2 linked regions of the Ovis aries genome follow. The protein of the gene in region 1 interacts with the protein of each later gene in a pairwise test. Links are inferred from orthologs where the notes say so. Each region holds a gene or a part of one and is shown on either strand. Other genes may lie near its edges.

Region 1 (9,626 bases):
GCGCGTGGTAGCCTACATCTTGTTCTCCCTCTTTCTGCCAGGAGTCTCCCAGCTGCCCTTACAGCGAGGAGTGGTCATGGTGAACAGTTCTGGCTAACAAGGCAGAGTCTGCTGCTGGCTCTGGGAAGGCTATAGCTTTCCTTTATAAAAAGGAAGGGATGTGTGTCCCCTTCTCCCTGCAGACATCACTTATGAAGCTACAGTGTTGTCTCCTGAGCACAAGGGAAGGGCCAAGAGAGGTAGAGAGAATTACAGCACTCTGTCCCAATGCTGTGGAGACTGAGCTATGGGCTGACAGCTGCCCTTCTTCAGACTTGGTTTGTGAGGAAACTATAACCCCTAGTATTTTGCTATCATTAAAAACCCAAGAGACTGCACATAAAAACCCAGTACAGAGGTGTGGCTCCTGGAGCACTCTATCTGGGGCCCCTGACAGCGGGATAATCCCAAGTCACAGTGGCACAACCACGGGAATAACAGTAGAAAGAGCCCCAGGAAGTCACCGAACTAGACATTGCTCTGCAGGGGTGGGGCATGGCTCACACTGGAGGAGGCTGGAGGTAGCAGAGCTGGAGGTGGGGCCATGTGGGGGGCGGGGACTGGCCCAGCAGCAGGACGGAGAGCAGCAGCAGCAGCAGGCCCAGGAGCGGCGCCGGGATCAGGAGGTGCCGGCTGACCCTGCGGGGAGGCGGCACAGTGCTCGGCGGCGCCCTGGGGAGCCCGTGGTGTCCAGACGTCTGACCACCACCCTCCTTCTCGAGATGCTGTGGTGTGCACCTGAGCCACTGGAGGCGCAGGGGGCACAGGCAGAGCTGGCCCCAGACTGGCCTCCTGACTGGGACCAGCTCCTTCACCACGGGCACCAGGGCTTGCTGCAGCTCTGGTTCTGAGGGGCTGCTAAGGAGAAAGGAAGGCAGGGCAACGGTGTTGGTCTTCCCCTCGCTCCCCAAGTCCCATCCCAGGCCCCTGGGTCCCACTACCTCTCAGGAGGGTTTCCAAGGATGTCTCCAGGGTGTGAGTCTTCTGGATGGATGGGGAGGTCCACCTGGAAGGACAAAGGGGACAAACGGTCTCAGGTTTGCTGGACCAGGAGAGGTGCTCTAGTCAGCCCACTGGACAGAAGTGCGCACACGGAAGGGGGCAGGACACAGTGGTTCTGTGTGAGAGCCTCCCCAACACACGCTGCTGCGCTGGGCTCCCAGCTCTGCCAGTTTCCTGCCGTGTGGCACTTGCACGTCACCCCACCTGTCAGGCCCCACTTTCTCCATCTGCCAGACAGCGGTGATGACAACGCCCACCTCAAAGGGCTGAAGTGGAGAATGAATGGGAGAATGTGGGCAAAACCTACACTGTCAGGAGGTGGGCTTAGAACAGCGCCTGGCGGACAGCACCCAGTGACTATGTGAGCTATTCAGTATTATTATTTCCACTTTCTGTCTGATTCTGGAAGCACCCAAGCCCCCTGAGGTCAAAGACTCTGTCTCCTCCAGGAACCCAGCCCTGGCCTGGGCCTAGTACAGCATGGACACTCCTCGGGTCCATCTTCCTGCCCTGCACCAGGCCCAGCAGGTATTTTAAGATTAAAGCCCCCAGTACTCCTTACTTTACCACGTCACCCCCCATGTGTTTCTTTTTCCCTGTGTCTTTCTGAAAGGGTATCCCCTCTGCAGATCTCAGGCTTTCTCAGGCCTGCCTCTGGTCTGTGGATGACGACTATGGCAATAACAATACAATAATAAACAAGGAGTTCTAGCAACACCCTGGTCTCAGCCACCGTCTTCACCACGGTCACCTACAGTGCGTCGGCTCTGTGCCAGGCACTTTATGATGCGATGCTTAACCTTCATCCCCACCCTGGGAGCTGGGTAAGATCGTCGTCACACTAGCCGTGAGGAAGCTGAGGTGGGCCCCAGTCTCCACGGATGGGAGTGTGGTGTGGTGGGAAAGAGGTGGGCCAGGGAGAGCATCTTGGTCAGCGTGGACCCTGAAGAACCCCAGGTGCCCAGAACGGAAGCCGGCACACCTTCTGGCTTCTGACCTCACCACGTTTCCTTCCTCTGCTTCCTCTGCCTGAGAACCAGGATTGCCACCTGCCGCTTTGAGGAGCAAAGGAGCTGCCGTGTGTGGTGCCGGCAGGGCAGCTATGACAGATGCGGTGCCCCAGGAGTTCTGGGCTGGCTGGGGAAGGTCTGGCTCTTCTGGAGTGTGGGCATACATATGTGCGCATTTGCGCAGTCTTGGGGTGTAGCCACGTCTGTGGCAGAGGCTGCGGCCCCATGTGCAGTGTGTAGGGGGGGTCCCCTGGGAACATTCTAGCTGCCCACTTGCCTGAAGCCTCCCTCTACAGCACTGTCTGCTCTCATTAGCTACAGCGAGGGCATTGTTAACTCTCGGCCAAACGATTTTTCTGTCTGTTTGGGGGTGTGGGCAGGGGCTGGGGAGGAGCTTTGACTACAGAAGCCTCATCTGAGGGCCTGAAGTGAATGGTGCCGGGGACTGCCTACCACGACCTGGATCTCCGCTTCGTCCTCTTCCTCTCTTCTGGGCAACCTGGGGCGACAAGAAAGTCACTGCAAGCATCTGTCTCCCCTGCCTGGCTCCCATTCACCAGCTGTGTGGCAGAACCTTTAAAGCAGGAGGTCTTCACGTACATGGACCTGGAGGGTGCCCTGGAGCCCCGCGAGCAGACTGTTGCGTGTAGGTTAGCATCTGTATTTTTTCACCAAATTCCCCAGAGAGTCTGTGTGTGACCCCTAAAGGGTCAGGGGCCCCTCCACCTTATTGGCTTTCTTAGCTGCTCCTTTCCCAGCAGGTCCCCCAGGTGATCAGAGGCTTCTGGGTCTCAGACATCTCTGAGACCCTGCCCCCTGCCCCAGCTTCCTGCCTGGTGGGCTGGGCCATGCTCAGGGAGTCTGGGTCTCATTGGGTCTTCTTGGAGAACTGGGACTCCAGCTCAGGCTTCCCTGACTCCAGAACTCAACTCTGTGGACCCTGCCCCCATCCTAAGTCATTTCTCTTAGGTGTGCAAGCCCCAGCCTCTGTGCCCCCGTGGTCACAGCTGCCTGAGCCCCTGAAACAGGCGCCTCTCTGGGGACTCAAGACACAAGCTGCCCAGCCCCAACGTTCCTTGGAGCCTGAGATGTCTGCACCACCCATCACCACCTTCACTGGGGACCAGGGACCCAGTGATCTAGCCTTAGCCACCAGTTTCAGACCCAACACCCTCAGGATACAGCTGTTTCCTCAATTCCGATTCAGTAAGGCACCCAGGCTCATAGGCCCCCAGCCTCTGGTTCAGTCAGATAACCAGCTGTCTTATCCCCTGGGATTTCTATGGTGGGGTGGGAGTGTGGGGCCCAGCCCCTCTCAGTATCTGGGCCCCACAGGACTCACCACTTCCCTCACTCCCGGCTTCCCACTTTGTGGACCATACTGCTCTCCCCTGCCCCAGGGAGACTGGGATGCCCAGCCTCTACACCAGCTCTGGTGCCCGCTGCTGCTCAGCGCTGTCTTCTTTCCATTCCCTGGTGACGCACGGGGAGGTTACAGCGCCGGGGGGCCCCCCATCCCGCCCAATCTCAGCTTTCTCAGACAACTCCAATTAGAGGCCGTAGCAGGCAGCCTCATTAGTTGTCACAGCCAGGAGCCTGAAAGAGGGGAGGAGGGAGAGAGAGGCCCTGCAGGGAGGCGGAGGCCCCGTGGAGGAGGGTGGGCCCAGACATCCGGTGCTTTCCCTATCTTTGGAAGCTGCACACAAGCCTTGTAATAGTTGATTAACAGTCACAGGGCGCGGGATTGCCCCATCCCATCACAGAGTAACTAAGCGGGGATCTGAACCCAGGCTGTGTGATCACAGAGACCCCAGGGTATCCCAGCTGTCTGAGTGCTCTGCTGGGGCACAATCTAGGTCTCATTTGCACCAGGGCTCCTTGGGAGCCTTAGAGAAGTGTGTTCAGTGACAGTGACTGAGTGAGCTATCCCATCTGCCTGACGGCTGTCTTCTTGCCTAGGGGTCTCCTATACGAATACTACTCCCAGAGGACCCTAAGCAGGGCCTCTTTCAAGTCTTTCCCCCAGGAGGGGTCAGGGGCTAGATGTCCTCCTGAACTACCAGGGTCTGGGGGTAAGGCTGGTCTGATTCATTCTGGTCCGCAGGCCCAGGATCGCCTCTGCGCGAGCGAGGGGCCCAGAGGTCACGGCTTTGCATAAGCCTCCCCTGGGGCTCTTCCAGGCCTGTACTCCAGCCATCTCAGAGTCACCCAGGGGGCCAGAGGGATGGCTCAGGGAGGACCAATCTCCTTACCTCGTGGATGGCTCCTCCCTTCCTTCCTGAGGCTGCGCTGACTCTTCCTGCGAGTTTCTCTGTGGGAAAGAAAAGCCTAGGTATCCTGGGCTTCCCCACCCACTTCTAAAACCGGCCCTTCTCCTGGGCTCCCCCTCAAGGGTGGCTCTACCTTCCCTCCAGGGGCAGAAGCCCGAAAGTGGACCAGTAGTTTTCCTTTGGGACCAGGAATTCAGGTCCCCCTGAACTTCTGACACTCCCACAAGCCTCTCACACTCATCTGGGCCCCAAAGAGGCTCAGCATTTCCCTTCCAACCCCCTTCTCCTCCCAGGTTCCCAGTTGTGGGCACCCAGGTCCCCCTCCGTTTTCTCTGAAGACATCCAGCCTTGCCTGTGGCCTCAGCCACCACCGAGACGCCTTTCTAAATGCATCACTGCGCTCTACCCTCGTGCACCCACTACCTCCGGGGCAGCACCCCCCATCCCTCAGGGTGCTCACCTTAGGGGGTCACAAGGTAGGTTCAGCGTCTGTCTGTCTACCCCCTTTTCCAGAACCCAGAGCTCTTAGCCCCCTGTTGGTGAGTTGGCAGCTCTGTCTCCCCTGCCTAATTCTCACTGCCTGTCCCTTTTTCTCTATCCCAAGGCCCTGGCCTGGCTCCAGCTTCATCCTCTAACTCTGGACCACTGCCCCAGCCTCCTCCCTGGCCTCCCAGTCTCCCATGTGGCCCCAGAGGGATCTTTCTGTGCAGCACATCCAGAACTGACCTGCCCCTCCCCACGCACTGCCTCTCACCCTCACTGGCAGGGAATTCCTTTCATGATCCGGCTTCACCTCATCTCTGGCTAGTCACTCCCAACTGCCCTCTACCTTCCAAACGTGTTATGTGGTTTCATGCTCCCATGTCCTCTCCGCATACTGTTCCCACTGCCTGGAAGGCCTCTCCTTTCTCACACCACTTAACTTCTCTTATTTCTTCAATATAAACTCAAGCGTCAGTTTCCCTGTGATATCTCCTATTCCACACAGGTATTCCCTTTCTCTGGGCTTCCCCAGGGCCCATCCCCCAATCCCCTAGCACACAGATCATCCTGCATTGGGATGGCCCATTTTCATGATCTATCAGGTCCTGAGCCCCACAGGGTCCCCAGGACCCAGTGCAGGCAGCACGCAGAGGCCTGGCTCAGTCTTCCCCTCCAGGAGGCGTCTGAGCACTCTCAGCGGAAGTTCTGATGTACACTTGTGGGGCTTCCTTGGTGGCTCAGCAGGAAAGACTGCCTGTCATTGCAGGAAACACGGGTTTGATCCCAGATCCGGGAAGACCCCACATACGGAGGAGCAACTAAACCCGTGTGCTGCAACTACTGAGCCTGTGCTCCAGAGCCTTCTTGCCCTAGAACCCATGCTCCACAACAAGAGAGACCACTGCAATGGAAGCCCGTGCACAGCAACTAGGGAGTAGGCCCCCACTTGCCTCAGCTAGAGAAAAGCCCTCGTGGCAGTGAAGCCCAGCACAGCCAAAATTAAATATAATTTTTAAAATGCATGCTTCCCCTGAGGAATGCAGCTGTGCTCCCCACAAGCTGTGTGATCTCTCTCTGAGCCTCAGTTTCCCAAGAATAACAGGGTGAGGGATGAGGGCGCCTACAGCCCGCAGAGACAGTGGGAGAGGGCAGAGAGGAATCCAACAGAAGATTCTCTCAATTCAGAGAAAAAGCGAACAGAGAAACTGTCTCTTTCAAGGGTGGTGAGCAGCGAGGAAGCAGTATGATTTTCAAGACAATAAAGCATTGTTTACAGAACTTTTAGCAATATTTTCTTAAAAAAAAATCCTCCAGTCACTAACAGATTACAAATCTCACTTTTCAACTGTGAACACTGAATATGAGCTGTCTTCATTGTTTCAAATGAGGTTTGAAATATTGTTCAGGTAACTACAGATGATGGCTATTGTTGGATTCAGGATTACATAGTGGGCTTGTTTTTTCTTAAAGGTTTTTTTAAAAGGTAAATGCTTAAAGTACCTACATGGTATCAGGAAGAACAATTCACTTCCTCCCTTCCCACCTTGTAACATTTTAAATAAGGTGATTCTGGACAGTGCTTTTGAAACCACCCCCACCCCATGAAATCTGCATGTTTGGTTGGCTCACTTCCACACCAGCAGGCCAGTCCCTGGAGGGCAGGGGTGGTGTCCTGTCTGGCCAGGGGCTCTGAGGCCAGCACCCAGCAGGCCCTCAGTCCACACCTGCCTATGGGGTGGGGAACAGTGAACGCGTCCCGGGCCCCGCTCCCAGCCCCTGGACCCAGCAGTCTCAGGGCTCTCCTGTGCTCACCTGCCCCCCCGACGGGGTTTCAGGAGGAAGCTCATCCTCCCCATCCGCCTCACTGACCACCTCCTCCCATGGCCACACTCCACACAGTGGGCTGGAGAAATCGATGGGTGTCTCCTCTTGCTTCTGAGGCCAGGGAGAGGCCAGTGAAGGCAGAGGTCAGGGGTGGCATGGAGATGGGCTGAGGCATGAGGTTGGGGGCGGGGAGAGTGATATGAGGGTGCCTGGGGGTCCGTGGGGCAGCACCGGGAAGGGTTTGGTGCCTGGACCAAGGACTGGGACAGGGATGAGGTTAAGAACCGAGGTGGTCCTGGGAGGACTGGAGTGGGGTGAGAGTCAGGGCGGGGTCAGAGTTGCCGCTGGCGGTGGCTTAGGGTGTTCTGGGGGTGTCAGGCCCACCTGCTGAATGGCCTGGATCTCCACACCCAGCGACGGCGGCAGCAGGTTGGTGCAGTCCGCTCTCCTCACCTGGGCCCCTTCGGATAACCTGGCCACACAGTCAGGAGGGGGAAGGCTGCCTCCATGCCCAACCACCTGTCAGCCAGCCTATGCTGAGGCTACTGCCCTGCCCACCTTGGGGCTGGACGCCACGGTGGGGGCTCCCTGTCCTTGGGCTCCCCTCCTGCTTCCTCCTCCCCCGTCGTTCTACTCACTCATCCAGCCCCTCCTGGGTCTGACTCAGCTGCTCCTCCAGGTGGGAGATTTCCAGCCTCAGTTCCTGCAAAGGAAGGATTGAGGGACCCCTGGCTCTGCCTTTTCCCCAGCCCCATGTCTGGGCTCCTCTTCCAAGGCCAGGTCCACTCCTTTGACTTCTTTGGGATCCTCCATACACATACAGACAAGGAGAGAAGGGGAAGAAACAGTAGCAGAAACTTAAGAAGCCAACGAGAGGTAAAGAGCAACAGGAACCCAGAATGTAACCTATCGGTCAGGAAAACTAAGAAAAGGAAAGCAGAGATGGAAACATATGGGAAAATGAGAGACACACATAGGGGACAGGGAGGCCTGGCGTGCTGCGATTCGTGGGGTCGCAAAGAGTCAGACGTGACTGAGCGACTGAACTGAACAGCCCTATCACACACAGATGGGGAGCAAGAGACTGTGAAGACAAGGGACAGAGAGAGGAGTAACCCCAGGAGACAGAGAACTGACCCAGAGAGCGGCAGAGACTGAAACCAGCCAGGCAGGGACACAGAAACAGGGGCAGGGCAGACACTGTGAGAAATCACCCACAGAGAATCAAAGTGGGTGGGAGATGGAGATACAGAGAGAGGAAGGACAGAGGAAAAGTGAAAACGCAGAGAGAGAGGGAGGGGGAGAGACGCACACAGTCAAGCAGCAGTGATGGTAGAAACAAGAGGTGGAGACTCGGAAAAAGATCATCAGACATAGGAGGAGGCAGGACACACCCCAGAGATGGCAAAACAGAAGCAGGGCCTGTGGCCGGGCCAGGGGGTTACCTGGGTTGTGGCTCTGTACTCCTCCAAGGTCTTGGTCAGGCTCTCCGCGTGGCGAGTGCGCTGGGAAAGCCCAAAGCTGATTGAGGCCGGGCTCAACCCACCAAAAACTCTGAGGTCTGGTCGCAGGGGAAGGGGGGTCGGATGGGTGTGATGGGCTGGGGGCAGAGCAAGACCTGAAGAGAGCATCAGCTTCCCTGGAAACCCTCTGACCTCTCTGGGCTGAGTCTCCAAGGATTAGAGTCTAGTATGCGTGCATGGCTAAGTCACTTCAGTCATGTGGACCGTAGCCCGCCAGGCTCCTCTGTCCATGGGATTCTCCAGGCAAGAATACTGGAGTGGGCTACCATGTGCTCCTCTACAGGATCTTCCCAACCCAGGGACTGAACCCGCGTCTCTTACGTCTCCTGTATCGGCAGGCGGGATCTTTACCACTAGTGCCACCTGGGAGGCCCTAGAGCCAAGGAGGATTTTCCTTTGTAGACTTGGGGCAGGAGACACATCGAAGGCACATTTCCCTCCAGCCCACTCACCTCGGAGAGGATGGCGTCTCGCTGGCAAATGAGGTGTTCACACTCGTAGAGCTGCCGCTGCCAAAGAAGGAGCCCGTCCATCTGTCTGGCCTGCCCTCCCCGGCCTATCCCGCTCTCTATAGCTCCTCTCCTCAACCTCCCTTCACATCTCTGGACGTCAGCTACCCCGAGGGGGACTTCAGTGAGTTGCCCACTGGCCCTGGGGACCTCAGAGCTTGAGTCAAACCCCTGATCTCACCAGACCAAAGGGGCTGAAACTGATGAGGCTAAAAACGGGCCTCAGGGAGGTAGGAAATCGTCAAGGCACTAGGGAGGGGTGCCACCTTCAAGATGTCCTTCTCCGAGGCCAGCTCCTCACTCCTCCTCTTCACTCCATCCCGCTCGGCCAGGAGCTTCCCATTCTGGAAGAAGGGACCCTGGTCACGATCACGTCAGCAAATGGCCATGTTAATACTCAGAGAAGACATGTGCTGAGCACCTGATGTGCATCAGGCCTCATGCTGGGCACCCTTTCTCTTTTTCCTGAGCCTTTCAGATGCGGCTTTAATTATCCTTCAATGGCAGCCTTTCTAAGACTTTTTTTTTTCACTTTTTATTTTGTTTTGTATTTAATTGTATAGCCAATTAACAACACTGGGACAGTTTCAGGTGAACAGTGAAGGTGAACAGCCATATACATGCATCCATTCTCTCCCAAACTCCACTCCCATCCAGGCTGCCACATAACATTGAGCAGGGTCCCATGTGCTATACAGTAGATCCTTGTTGGTTATCCATTTTAAATATAGCAGTGTGTACATATCCATCCCAAACTCCCTAACTATCTCTTCCTCTATCCGTCCCCCTATTCCCCGTGCTCAGCACTTCCTGATGTTTCAGCCCACTTAATCCCTCCAACAATCCTATAGGATCTCAGCTCTGATTTGCAGATGAAAAAATAAAAACGGCTGCAAAAATGGAGCTATGATGGGATGCATGTGAGGATTAAATGAACTAATAATTACTGCTAACATTTACGGGGCA
Region 2 (10,279 bases), on another chromosome or scaffold:
CGTCAGTGTGTTCTGAGTACTCTTCTGCACTCCTTTCAGTTGCTGTAGCCTCTTCCTCCTCTTTCTGCTTCCTTTTCTTTTTCTTTTTCTTGGGGGGCTTGCTCTCAGACTGCAGTTGAGGGACCCCAGGGTCCTGGCCTTTGAGCCGAGCCAGGAAGGCCTGCTCCTGGGCCTCTAAGCGAGCAAGCTTAGCTTTCATTGTGATCCCAAGACGGGCAGCCCTGAAATAGATGGGGCCCAAGTCAGAGGGAGGCCATCAGGGAAAAGAAGCCTCATCTTTGCGACTGCAGGGAAAGTTGGTAAGGAGGAGCTACCTGTCTTGAGGCAGCTTCAGAAATGGGCAAAGAGTAGGAATCATTTCCTCTGGGGTGAAAAGAGTGGCACAGGCCACCCTCAATGGTGGGCTTGTGATGGGGAGAGAAGGGAGCCCAAGAAGCCAACCACTACTTACTTGTGTGCTGTTCGTCCCTCGCAGGCCTGGAGCAGCATCTCATCGGTCAGCCTGTTGGAGAGGGGTGGGAATCAGGAATTACAAATGGATCTGATGGAAAGGCTTGACCTCTCCTCCCCTCCAAAACATTCACCAATGAGTTCCTATTCAGGACCTGGAAGTGCCAAAGATTAGTACAAGAGTTCCACCCCCCAAGAAGACCACAGCCAAGCATTACACTGGTCCGTCCTTCTGAGATTTGAAGGCATCTCCTCCCATATGCCCCAGCACTAGAAAGACGTCTCACACATTCGGAGGCTTGGGCTCCTGGCTGTCATCACTGCAGCTTTCCCCGTCCTTGTCTGGCTTCTCCCCACTTGAAGTCAGTGTGGCCGTCTAGAAGGAGGAATCGTGGGGATGGACAAGGCCCACTCAACACCACCGTCATCCCACTTCCCTTCTGGAAACCACTCCCAACCACCATCTCAAGTAGCCAGAGGCACAGATCTGTCAGCCCCTGACATCACTTCTTACAGACCTCCACAGAGGTGTGCCAACCTGCATATGTCAGCCTGGGCAGGAAGTGGGCTGCAGTTGGGAATGGGTGGGGCAGGGGCAGTCCTGGCTCCCTGGCCCACAGCCAGCTAGCTAGTGGGCAAAAGAAGAAGGGAGGGACAAGTGCTCGGGTCATTAGGTCTTCACAGTGGGACAAGTGCCCCCGGTGGTCATCTCACGGTTCTAGCAACAGACAACAAAGATGGTTCTTTTCACAACCTGTGCACGCCCCGCCCCGCCCCCGCCCCTGGGCCAATACCTATGCACAGTTCTTTAACCAGGTTAAGAACCTACTATGGATTAAAAGGCTGGGGATACAGAGTGGAGTAAGAATGAGATGGGTGCAGCCAACATAGATCCTACGTGGTTAACAGGGAAGGAGATATGGCAGAATGTAGGCAATTATGAAGAAAATACTGGCAGACTACAGTCCATAGTGTCCCCAAAGAGTCAGACATGACTTAAACAACAATTATCTCTGCTAGAGGAGGGATACCTGACTCAGGCTTCAGGGTTTGGGGAATAGTTCCTACAAGTAACTCGGCTTTGAAAGACAACGAAAAGGTCAGCAGGTAAAGGAAGCAGAATGTCCCAGACAGAGGGAGCATATGCAAAAATTTGAAGGTGATAAAACATGGTACCTGAAAAAGATTCAGAATCAATCTGGCTAAAGAGTAGACAGAGGTCCTGAGAAGTGGCGAGAAACAGGCTAGGGAAGAAGGCGAGGACACGGCCTGAAGGGCCATCCGCGTCAGTCTGACACCTGTAGACTGTGTCATCCCAGGTCAAGGAGGAGCCAGTGACTCAGTGAAACTTGTGTTTTACAGAGAACACTCTGGACGCTTTGTGGAGGATGAACTGATTGGCACGAGGATTGAGACTAGAGTGAGGAGCCTAGCTAGTTATGAGGCTGTGGAAGAAACCATGCAGGAGATGATGGTCTGAACTGGGGCCGAAGATGGCCACAGAGATGAATGGGGAAGATCTGCTGGATAACATGTAGAGCCTTTAAGCAGGTAATGGAAGATCATTAAATGTCAGCTCCCTTCCTTTGGCACGCTAGAAAAGGGAAGTCTGAACACCTGGGTTCTAGTCCTTGGCTAGAACAGGTTTTTATAGTTACTAGCCACCTGTGGGCTCTTCAGTGAGCCACCTCCCCCCTTCTGGCCATATCTGCAAAATAAAAGACAATGGGTCCGATAATCTCTCAGGTCTCCTCAGGCTTCTAAGTCCTTTGAAATAGATGTCCCCTCCCTGCTCTCCTCTGGCAGCTCCTGACTGTCCTCCGCCTCCCACTCCCTGTTGCAGCCCCCTCAGCAGAGGGCAGGGATCCATGCAGCCTGAAGATTTCAATTCTTGCTGAGGATCTGGGCAGTCTGGGTCAGCAACAGCGAGGTTAGTCCCAGGACCCCACTTAGGACAGTCCTGAGAACAGGTAGGGCATGCAAGGCAATTGTTCAGACCCCAAGAGACCAGGGAAGGGGAAAGGGTGGGCCCTCTCACCCCCAGCCTCTAATACCTTCACAAATTTCTGATACAGCAAGTTGGGCTTGGCGTGATCCTGACGGGTGGTCTCCTCAGACAGGCGTCTTATCTGTACTCCATCCTGGGGGAAGTATGTGTGAGTGGGTGCCACGTCTCCCTCACCCCCATGTGTCCAGGCCCTCGTGTGTTACATGCCTGCTATTAGAGCTTATACCTGCCTAGTTTCCACCACCAAGTTGGCTGCAGTCTTGTTGAACAGATCATTCCACCAGTGATTTGTGAACTCCTTGGCAGGGTCGTGTCCCACCTGCCAGAGAAGTGTGAACTCAGGGCTTGTCAATCCCCTCCCTCACCCTATCTTCAAGGCCCCCATCTCCCATCCCCACTGACCTCCCGCAGTCTGTCCAGTCTTACCCCATAAGTGTCCTGCTTCAGCGTCACCCTGAGGGCCTGGGTGATACCATTCTCCTTCCGGCCCAGGCCTTTGCCTGCAGAAGACAGCGAATGACCTGGCTTATTCCACTGCCTGCCCTAAGCCCTCACAAAGCAACCCTGGCACATGCCCTTGTCATTCCACACACCTAGCACTGAGCGTGCCCTGTCCCTCTCAGAAACCCTCCCAGTTCCACTCTTCCTACTCCCTCTCCATACGGTCTTCATGTCTTTGAGCCCAAACTCTCTTTTCCCATAATTCTCTCAGGACAGAGGTCATCTCTTTCCCACTCCCAGTTCTCTCAGCCACTTCCTTCTCACTATCCACAGTCATATTTCTTCCCTTTTCTGGAAATGTCTGGAAATTGCTGAATTTTCTTCTGCAAATTTTCTCTTTAACTTTTCCTCTTCCGTTGAACAGACTACAGAGAGGTTAATCCAGGATAATGCCTCTCCCCTGGGCAGAGGGTAGTGAGGGAGTTGGGGGATGTGGAAGGGGCCCCCTGGGAATCACCTTGAGTCCATCCATGCTTTAGCAACTGCTCCTCAGCAAATTTCATCCCCCGACTCTTGACCTCGGGGGTGATACTCATGGTGAGAAAAGTCACTGTCTTCAGGCTCTCACTGGAGAAGCAGCAGTCACTGTCATCCCTTTAAGAGGAAGGGAGAAAGTGCTCAGATCATGTACCAAATCCATCCTAACCGCTCTTATAAGAATTCTTTCCTGGAGCTGGAACAGAGATCAAGCTGGGAGGCCTGGTCCTTAGGGAGCTCCCTGACCACTGAGAGGTCAACATGCTGAAAGTCAAGGAGGACCAGTATTAACAATAATACCTAAATTTATGGAGAGCTCACCACACGCTGGGCTTTGCTAAGACTTTGCATGGATCATTTCATGTAACCGTCCCAGTCCAGGAAGATTTCCTAAACTTTGCATTCAGGAAGGTATTACTATCCTTTTGTTCAAATGAGGAAACTAAAGCCTAAAGAGGTTAGGTGACTTGCTCAAGGTCACACAGCTGATGCATGTAGAATTCACACTCAGGCAGCTGGTCTGCAGAATTCCCACTCTTTACCGCTACCTGACAATATCTCCCATGATTTATTACCATGTTAAAAACAAAGCAAAGCAATGAGATGTTTGTTAACCTGAGTGATATCTGTCTGTGCTCAGTTGTGTGATTCTTTGTGACCCTTTGGTCTGTAGCCCGCCAGGTTCCTCTGCCCATGGGGTTCTCCCAGCAAGAATACTGGAGTAGGCTGCCATCTCCTCCTCCAGTTATAAGACAGCAGTGCTTAATAAAGCCTGTATCCTATACCTGTGCCCCAGCATTTACACTGTGGGGGCTTCACCACCACTGTCTTTCAGTCTTGTTGGAGCACCCTTTTTGAAACTGTCCAGCTTGGAAAGGCGCTCTTATATTTAACAGGAGGATTACACATACTATTATACTGTCTCATTTAACCCTAACAGTTCTGTAAGACAGATATTATTTTATAGAGGAGAAAAATAAAGTCTCGGTTTCTTGCCTGGTTTCTTATATAGCTGGTAAGGGATGTAGCTGGAAATATGAGCCCAGGATGCATGACTGTATAGTAGCCCGGCTTCTATTATATTCCCAACTACGGTCATCCCTCAGTTATCAGCGGGGGACTTGTTTTAGGACCTGCCATTGATACCAAAACCCAAATTCTATACTCAGCCTTCCACATGCCAGCATGTTGCTAATTGTTTCACACATATTATCTCATTTAATCCTTCCAACAACCCCACAGGGAGGTGTTTTGGGTTTTTGTTTTGGCTGCCCCGGGTTCCTTGCAGGATCTTAGTTCCCCAACCACGGACTGAACTCCAGCCCTCCGCAGTGAAGGTACAGAGTCCCAACCACTGGACCACCAGGGAATTCCCTGGAGGTGTTTTTACTGTAACTTACAACTGAAGAAATGGCACTGAAAAGTTTAGCTACTTGCACAAATCAAATAGCTGGTTAAGTAGCGGATCTAGGATCTCAGGCACTCCAGAACTGGTGTTCTCAATCACTACTCACAGGCTCATAGCCATTTACGCTTTACACTCTAAGACTTACACAGCCTATGCCTTGTCGCATTAATTTGAAATTATATTATATACCACAGCCTATGCTTAGTCTTATTCCCAAACCCCTGATGCACTTAATGCAGCTCCTGAATGCGTTCAGTCCTTAATTGTTGAACTGAATGACACAGGTGGGAATTTCCTTAACCGACCTAGAACAGCTAACTGTGGACAGAAGCTAGATACCAGGCTGTGCTCGCAGTCTTTGCGAAGGCTGTGAGCACACTTTCAGGAACTGTCTTCTTTCCAGTCAACGTGAGTTTTCTGGAGAAGGGACCCTGGGCTACCATTCTTACAGAGGTTCTGAAGAGCTGGCTCCTTTCCCTAGGGTTCCTTCCTGTGGAGGTTAAAACTCCAGCCCTCCGACCGCAGCTTCACTTGAGTAAAACTATTCTCTTTCTGTCACATTTGCCCCTGAGCCCGGGCTATGACAGTCACCATTCGGGGGACTGTAGCCCCTTACCGTCATTGCGAGATCCTCTCCGCAGAAACATGTGACAAACGTGACTTGTGCGCAGCCATCTTCCCGGAAGTGCTGTTTCGACCCTTCTAGGCTGTGGAAACCATAGAGATGTACGCTGGAACTGAGTCTCTGTGGTCCCCGGAGAAACTGAGAGGCCGGCTTGCGGTATGGTTGCCATAGAAACTCCGCCCCAGAGCTAGCCCATTTCTGGAGATTCGAGAGGTATTCTACTTATTGCCTCCCAGCAGGCCCTGAGCAGCTAAGTGACTTCAGTCCTACCTGACTCTATCGGGGTTCGGAGAATAGCTTTGGGTCCAACATTGACTAGTCCTAGGCACAAATACGAGAAAGGAAAATTTTAGGTGAAAGCATCGAGAGTGGCCTGAGAGATTCGTGGAGGCAGAGAAGGAGGTAGTACCTCTGAGGTGATTAATAATTCAAGGGATGAATACTCAGCTTGCAGGGACAGTTTGTTTTTTTTTTTTTTTTAAATAAAATCCTAGAGGTAAGAGGTTTCAATACGTTCATCAAACACATTTTGATTCACCACTGTGTGCCAGGACCTGTTCTTCTTTGGTACTGGTGATACAAAGATGCGTAAGACACGAGCCCTGACTTCGAGAAGCACTTTGTCTAGCCCAAGCAAAGCTGGAAGCTCGAGTGGGACTGGAGAGGCAAAATCCCGGAATGCATAATAGGTTGAGGAGTTCAGACTTGCCTTATAAGTATGAGAATCCATTGAGCAGGAGAGGGAAAGAACATATTGCAAAGAAGTCAGCAAGAGAGGTTGCACATCCTCTCATCCCCACAGTGTTCTTAGGGTCCACTGAGCCACCCAGGAACTAAAATCGGAAGGGAAAAAGAAAAAAGTTTTCCCTTATTTGCATCCCTGTGTCAATATTTGGACTTCCCTGGCTCAGACGGGAAAGCGTCTGTCTACAATGCGGGAGACCCGGGTTCTATCCCTGGGTTGGGAAGATCCCCTGGAGAAGGAAATGGCAATCCACTCCAGGACTATTGCCTGGAAAATCCCATGTACAGAGGAGCCTGGTAGGCTACAGTCCTTGGGGTCTCAAAGAGTCGGACACGACTGAGCGACTTCACTTTCACTTTCACATTAATATTTACGGTAACTTAGCGCCCCCTAGGATCTTCAAAGAGAAAAGCTGCCATTTCACTCAAGCTTTGTCACAATTGTTCAGTATGTCATACTACCTCATTCCAGTATGTTTTTTTAAACATGAAATTAGTTTTACTTTTAAAATATGCTACATGGGAACAATACGTTAAACAATGGATCTTGATTAGTGGGCTTGTAGATGCTTTCATAAGTGATGTGGAATGCTTCAAATATACTGTTCAGAGGTTGGATTCAATAGAGGAGCGTTTCGTGAATGGCAGTCAGATCTGAGTCCTTTTCCTGCTCGAGAGCAACCTTTCACTGGTCTATAAAATTAGAATGTTGGACTAGTACAATCATCTTTACAAACTTGATTTTATTTCCACCGTTTCAATATTCCACCCTTTCTATCTCCCCTGTCTATCTAATATTACATATTATACTGTGGTCATAAAAGAAGTTTGAAAACTCATGAATAGGTCAAGGGCCCTTTTCAGCCCACAATTTCTGTTCAGCATACTCTTTGTCGGCCATTCTGAAAATCTAATGGCCATAATTTGTTGAACTGAACATTCAGAAAACTAAGATCATGGCATCCAGTCCCATCAGTTAATGGCAAATAGATGGGGGGAAAATGGAAACAGTGACAGACTTTATTTTCTTGGACTCCAAAATCTCTGCAGACAGTGACTACAGCCATGAAATTAAAAGACGCTTGCTACTTGTAAGAAAAGCTATGGCAAAACTAGACTGCATATTAAAAAGCAGAGACATATATACTCAAAGCTTTGGCTTTTCCAGTAGTCATGTATGGATGAGAGAGCTGGACTATAACAAAAGCTGCGTACCAAAGAATTGATGCTTTCAAACTGTGGTGTTGGAGAAGACTCTTGAGAGTCCCCAGTCAATCCTAAAGGAAATCAACCCTGAATATTCGTTAGAAGGACTAATGCTGAAACTGAAGCTCCAGTACTTTGGCCACCTGATGAGAAGAACCGACTCTTGGAAAAGACCCTGATGCTGGGAAAGATTGAGGGCAGGAGGAGAAGGGGGCGACAGAGAATGAAATGGTTGGATGGTATCATCTACTTGACAGACATGAGTTTGAACAAACTCTGGGAGATAGTGAAAGATAGGGAAGCGTGGCCTGCTGCAGTCCGTGGGGTTGCAAAGAGTTGGATACAACTTGTTCAGTCGGAGCAACTGAACAACATAACTTGTTGACTCAAGATTCTGAGTCTGGCCTAGGAACTTGAACTCTGCCTGGCTCACTCATTTGATAAATATTTATTAAGGGTCTTCTATAGACCAAGGACTAAAGGTCCAGCCCATGTTCTGTTGGGCTTCTCGATCATGTGGGGGTGTAACAAGTTACCATGAACTTATATCAGTGAGTGATGAGAGCTGTGGCAAGGTCAGAACACAGTGCTGTGGGGGTAAAAGAAGTCAGGGCCCCTGCAGGCCTGTCCCTGGAGGCTATGTGGGGTTGCAAAAGAAGAAATGGGCCTCCAGGAGTTCAAAATTTCAGGGGCTTCAAACTCTTCACAAGAGTTGTGCAAAATAAAAGCCATTATGAGAGAGCAAGAATACATGACTATTTATAAGGTAAGCTCGGGGTCTTTCTACTCCTCCGTCTTGGCCCCTCTCAGTTCTGAATGCTGGGAAGTCCAAGATCAAGGCACCAGGTTGATGACCTTCTGGTGAGGGCCCTTTTCCTGATTCATATCTGGCAACTTCTTGCTGTGTTCTTTTGTGCTGGAAGGGGCCATGACTACTTATAAGAAAATAATCTGAAATGCAGACATAGAAAGATCAGCAGAAATATTTATTACAGGAATATTTATAAAATGGGGGAAAAAAAAGCAAAGAACCTAAATATTCCACAACAGGATAATGGCTAAATAACTTACAGTGGAATCATTGTTGCTTTATTGCCCAGTCACTAAGTCATGTCTTACTCCTTGTGACCCTTTGAACTGCAGCACACCAGGTTCCCCATCCTTCACTATCTCCCAGAGTTTGCTCAAAGAGTGGAAATATACAGTGCACTAATACATAGTCTTAAAAAATGAATTTGAAGAAGGATTTCTAATAATTTTGGGGAAATGTCTATGATATGATTGAAGTGAAAAAAACAGGTACAAGTTCAGTTCAGTCGCTCAGTCATGTCCGACTCTTTGCGACCCCATGAATCGCAGCACACCAGGCTTCCCTGTCCATCACCAACTCCCAGAGTTCACTCAAACTCATGTCCATCGAGTCAGTGATGCCATCCAGCCATCTCATCCTCTGTCGTCCCCTTCTCCTCCTGCCCCCAGTCCCTCCCAGCATCAGGGTCTTTTCTAATGAGTCAACTCTTCACATGAGGTGGCCAAAGTATTGGGAGTTTCAGCTTCAGCATCAGTCCTTCCAGTGAACACCCAGGACTGGTCTCCTTTAGAATGGACTGGTTGGATCTCCTTGCAGTCCAAGGGACTCTCAAGAGTCTTCTCCGACACCACAGTTCAAAAGCATCAATTCTTTGGCGCTCAGCTTTCTTCACAGTCCAACTCTCACATCCATACATGACCACAGGAAAAACCATAGCCTTGACTAGATGGACCTTTGTTGACAAAGTAGAAGATACAAACTGGTCCCTAAATAGTAAGAGCCATCGATATTAAAAATTCATTGACTATGGCATCAAAATAAATAAAACACTTAGTAATTTAATAAAATATAGCAAAAAAAGTGTAATAATTATACCCTGAAAATTCAAAAATGTCATTGAAAGAAGCAAAAGAAGACCTACATAAATGGAAAAATACCTGTGTTTATGGATTGGCAGACTTAATAAGATCACTCTCCAAATTACTTTGCCAACAAAGGTCCATCTGGTCAAGGCTATGGTTTTCCAGTAGTCATGTATGGATGTGAGAGTTGGACTGTAAAGAAAGCTGAGCACCGAAGAATTGATGCTTTTGAACTGTGGTGTTGGAGAAGACTCTTGCAAGTCCCTTGGACTGCAAGGAGATCCAACCAGTCCATCCTAAAGGAGACCAGTCCTGGGTGTTCACTGGAAGGACTGATGCTGAGGCTGAAACTCCAATACTTTGGCCACCTCATGTGAAGAGCTGACTCATTTGAAAAGACCCTGATGCTGGGAGAGATTGAGGGCAGGAGGAGGAGGAGAAGACAGAGGATGAGATGGTTGGATGGCATCACCAACCCGATGGACATGAGTTTGGGTAAATTCCAGGAGTTGGTGATGGACAGGGAGGCCTGGCGTGCTGCAGTCCATGCGGTCACAAAGAGTCAGACACGACTGAGTGACTGAACTGAACTTACTCTCCAAATTGGTCTACAGATTCAGCACAATCTCTATCAAAATCCGAGTTGGCTTTTTGCATCAATCGACAAGTTGGTTTGAAAATTCAAGTGGAAATGCCAGGGATCCTTTTTCTTGCAAATGAGCAAAGTTGAAGGACTAACTGAGCAATTTACGCTTTCTCTGTTTTCATGATTGGTAACAGGGGGATCTTCAAGAGGAAGTGAGTGTGGCCCTGAGATGACCAACACTTGAAATCCTTTCTAAATTTCTGGAGCAGAATGAAATCCTAAAAACTAGGTGTTAGGTTATTTTCCTTTAAGTCTGCACAATATCATAAAAACCATACTCTGCCCACAAATACCTTTGGTGCATAAACTTGTGTAACGTTT

The links.
Region 2: the proteins of KASH5 (region 1) and G patch domain-containing protein 4 interact in binary tests that used the Homo sapiens proteins (3 or more experiments, as listed by UniProt). The two-hybrid records come from large-scale screens. The link is inferred for Ovis aries from reciprocal best matches to the Homo sapiens genes KASH5 and GPATCH4.

The regions. Positions count from the first base shown.
Region 1 is NC_056067.1:55,605,759-55,615,384, reverse strand, and holds part of KASH5 (protein KASH5), read right to left. Parts: intron 9,005-9,626; coding exon 8,927-9,004; intron 8,661-8,926; coding exon 8,604-8,660; intron 8,134-8,603; coding exon 8,074-8,133; intron 7,332-8,073; coding exon 7,267-7,331; intron 7,101-7,266; coding exon 7,013-7,100; intron 6,740-7,012; coding exon 6,617-6,739; intron 4,363-6,616; coding exon 4,304-4,362; intron 2,551-4,303; coding exon 2,505-2,550; intron 1,046-2,504; coding exon 981-1,045; intron 898-980; coding exon 787-897; intron 679-786; coding exon 540-678; 3' UTR 1-539. UniProt on the Homo sapiens protein: As a component of the LINC (LInker of Nucleoskeleton and Cytoskeleton) complex, involved in the connection between the nuclear lamina and the cytoskeleton.
Region 2 is NC_056054.1:106,562,738-106,573,016, forward strand, and holds the start of G patch domain-containing protein 4, read right to left. Parts: upstream 5,535-10,279; 5' UTR 5,461-5,534; intron 3,554-5,460; 5' UTR 3,496-3,553; coding exon 3,417-3,495; intron 2,959-3,416; coding exon 2,885-2,958; intron 2,778-2,884; coding exon 2,685-2,777; intron 2,592-2,684; coding exon 2,505-2,591; intron 2,189-2,504; exon of another isoform or gene 827-2,188; coding exon 738-826; exon of another isoform or gene 503-737; coding exon 452-502; intron 222-451; coding exon 1-221.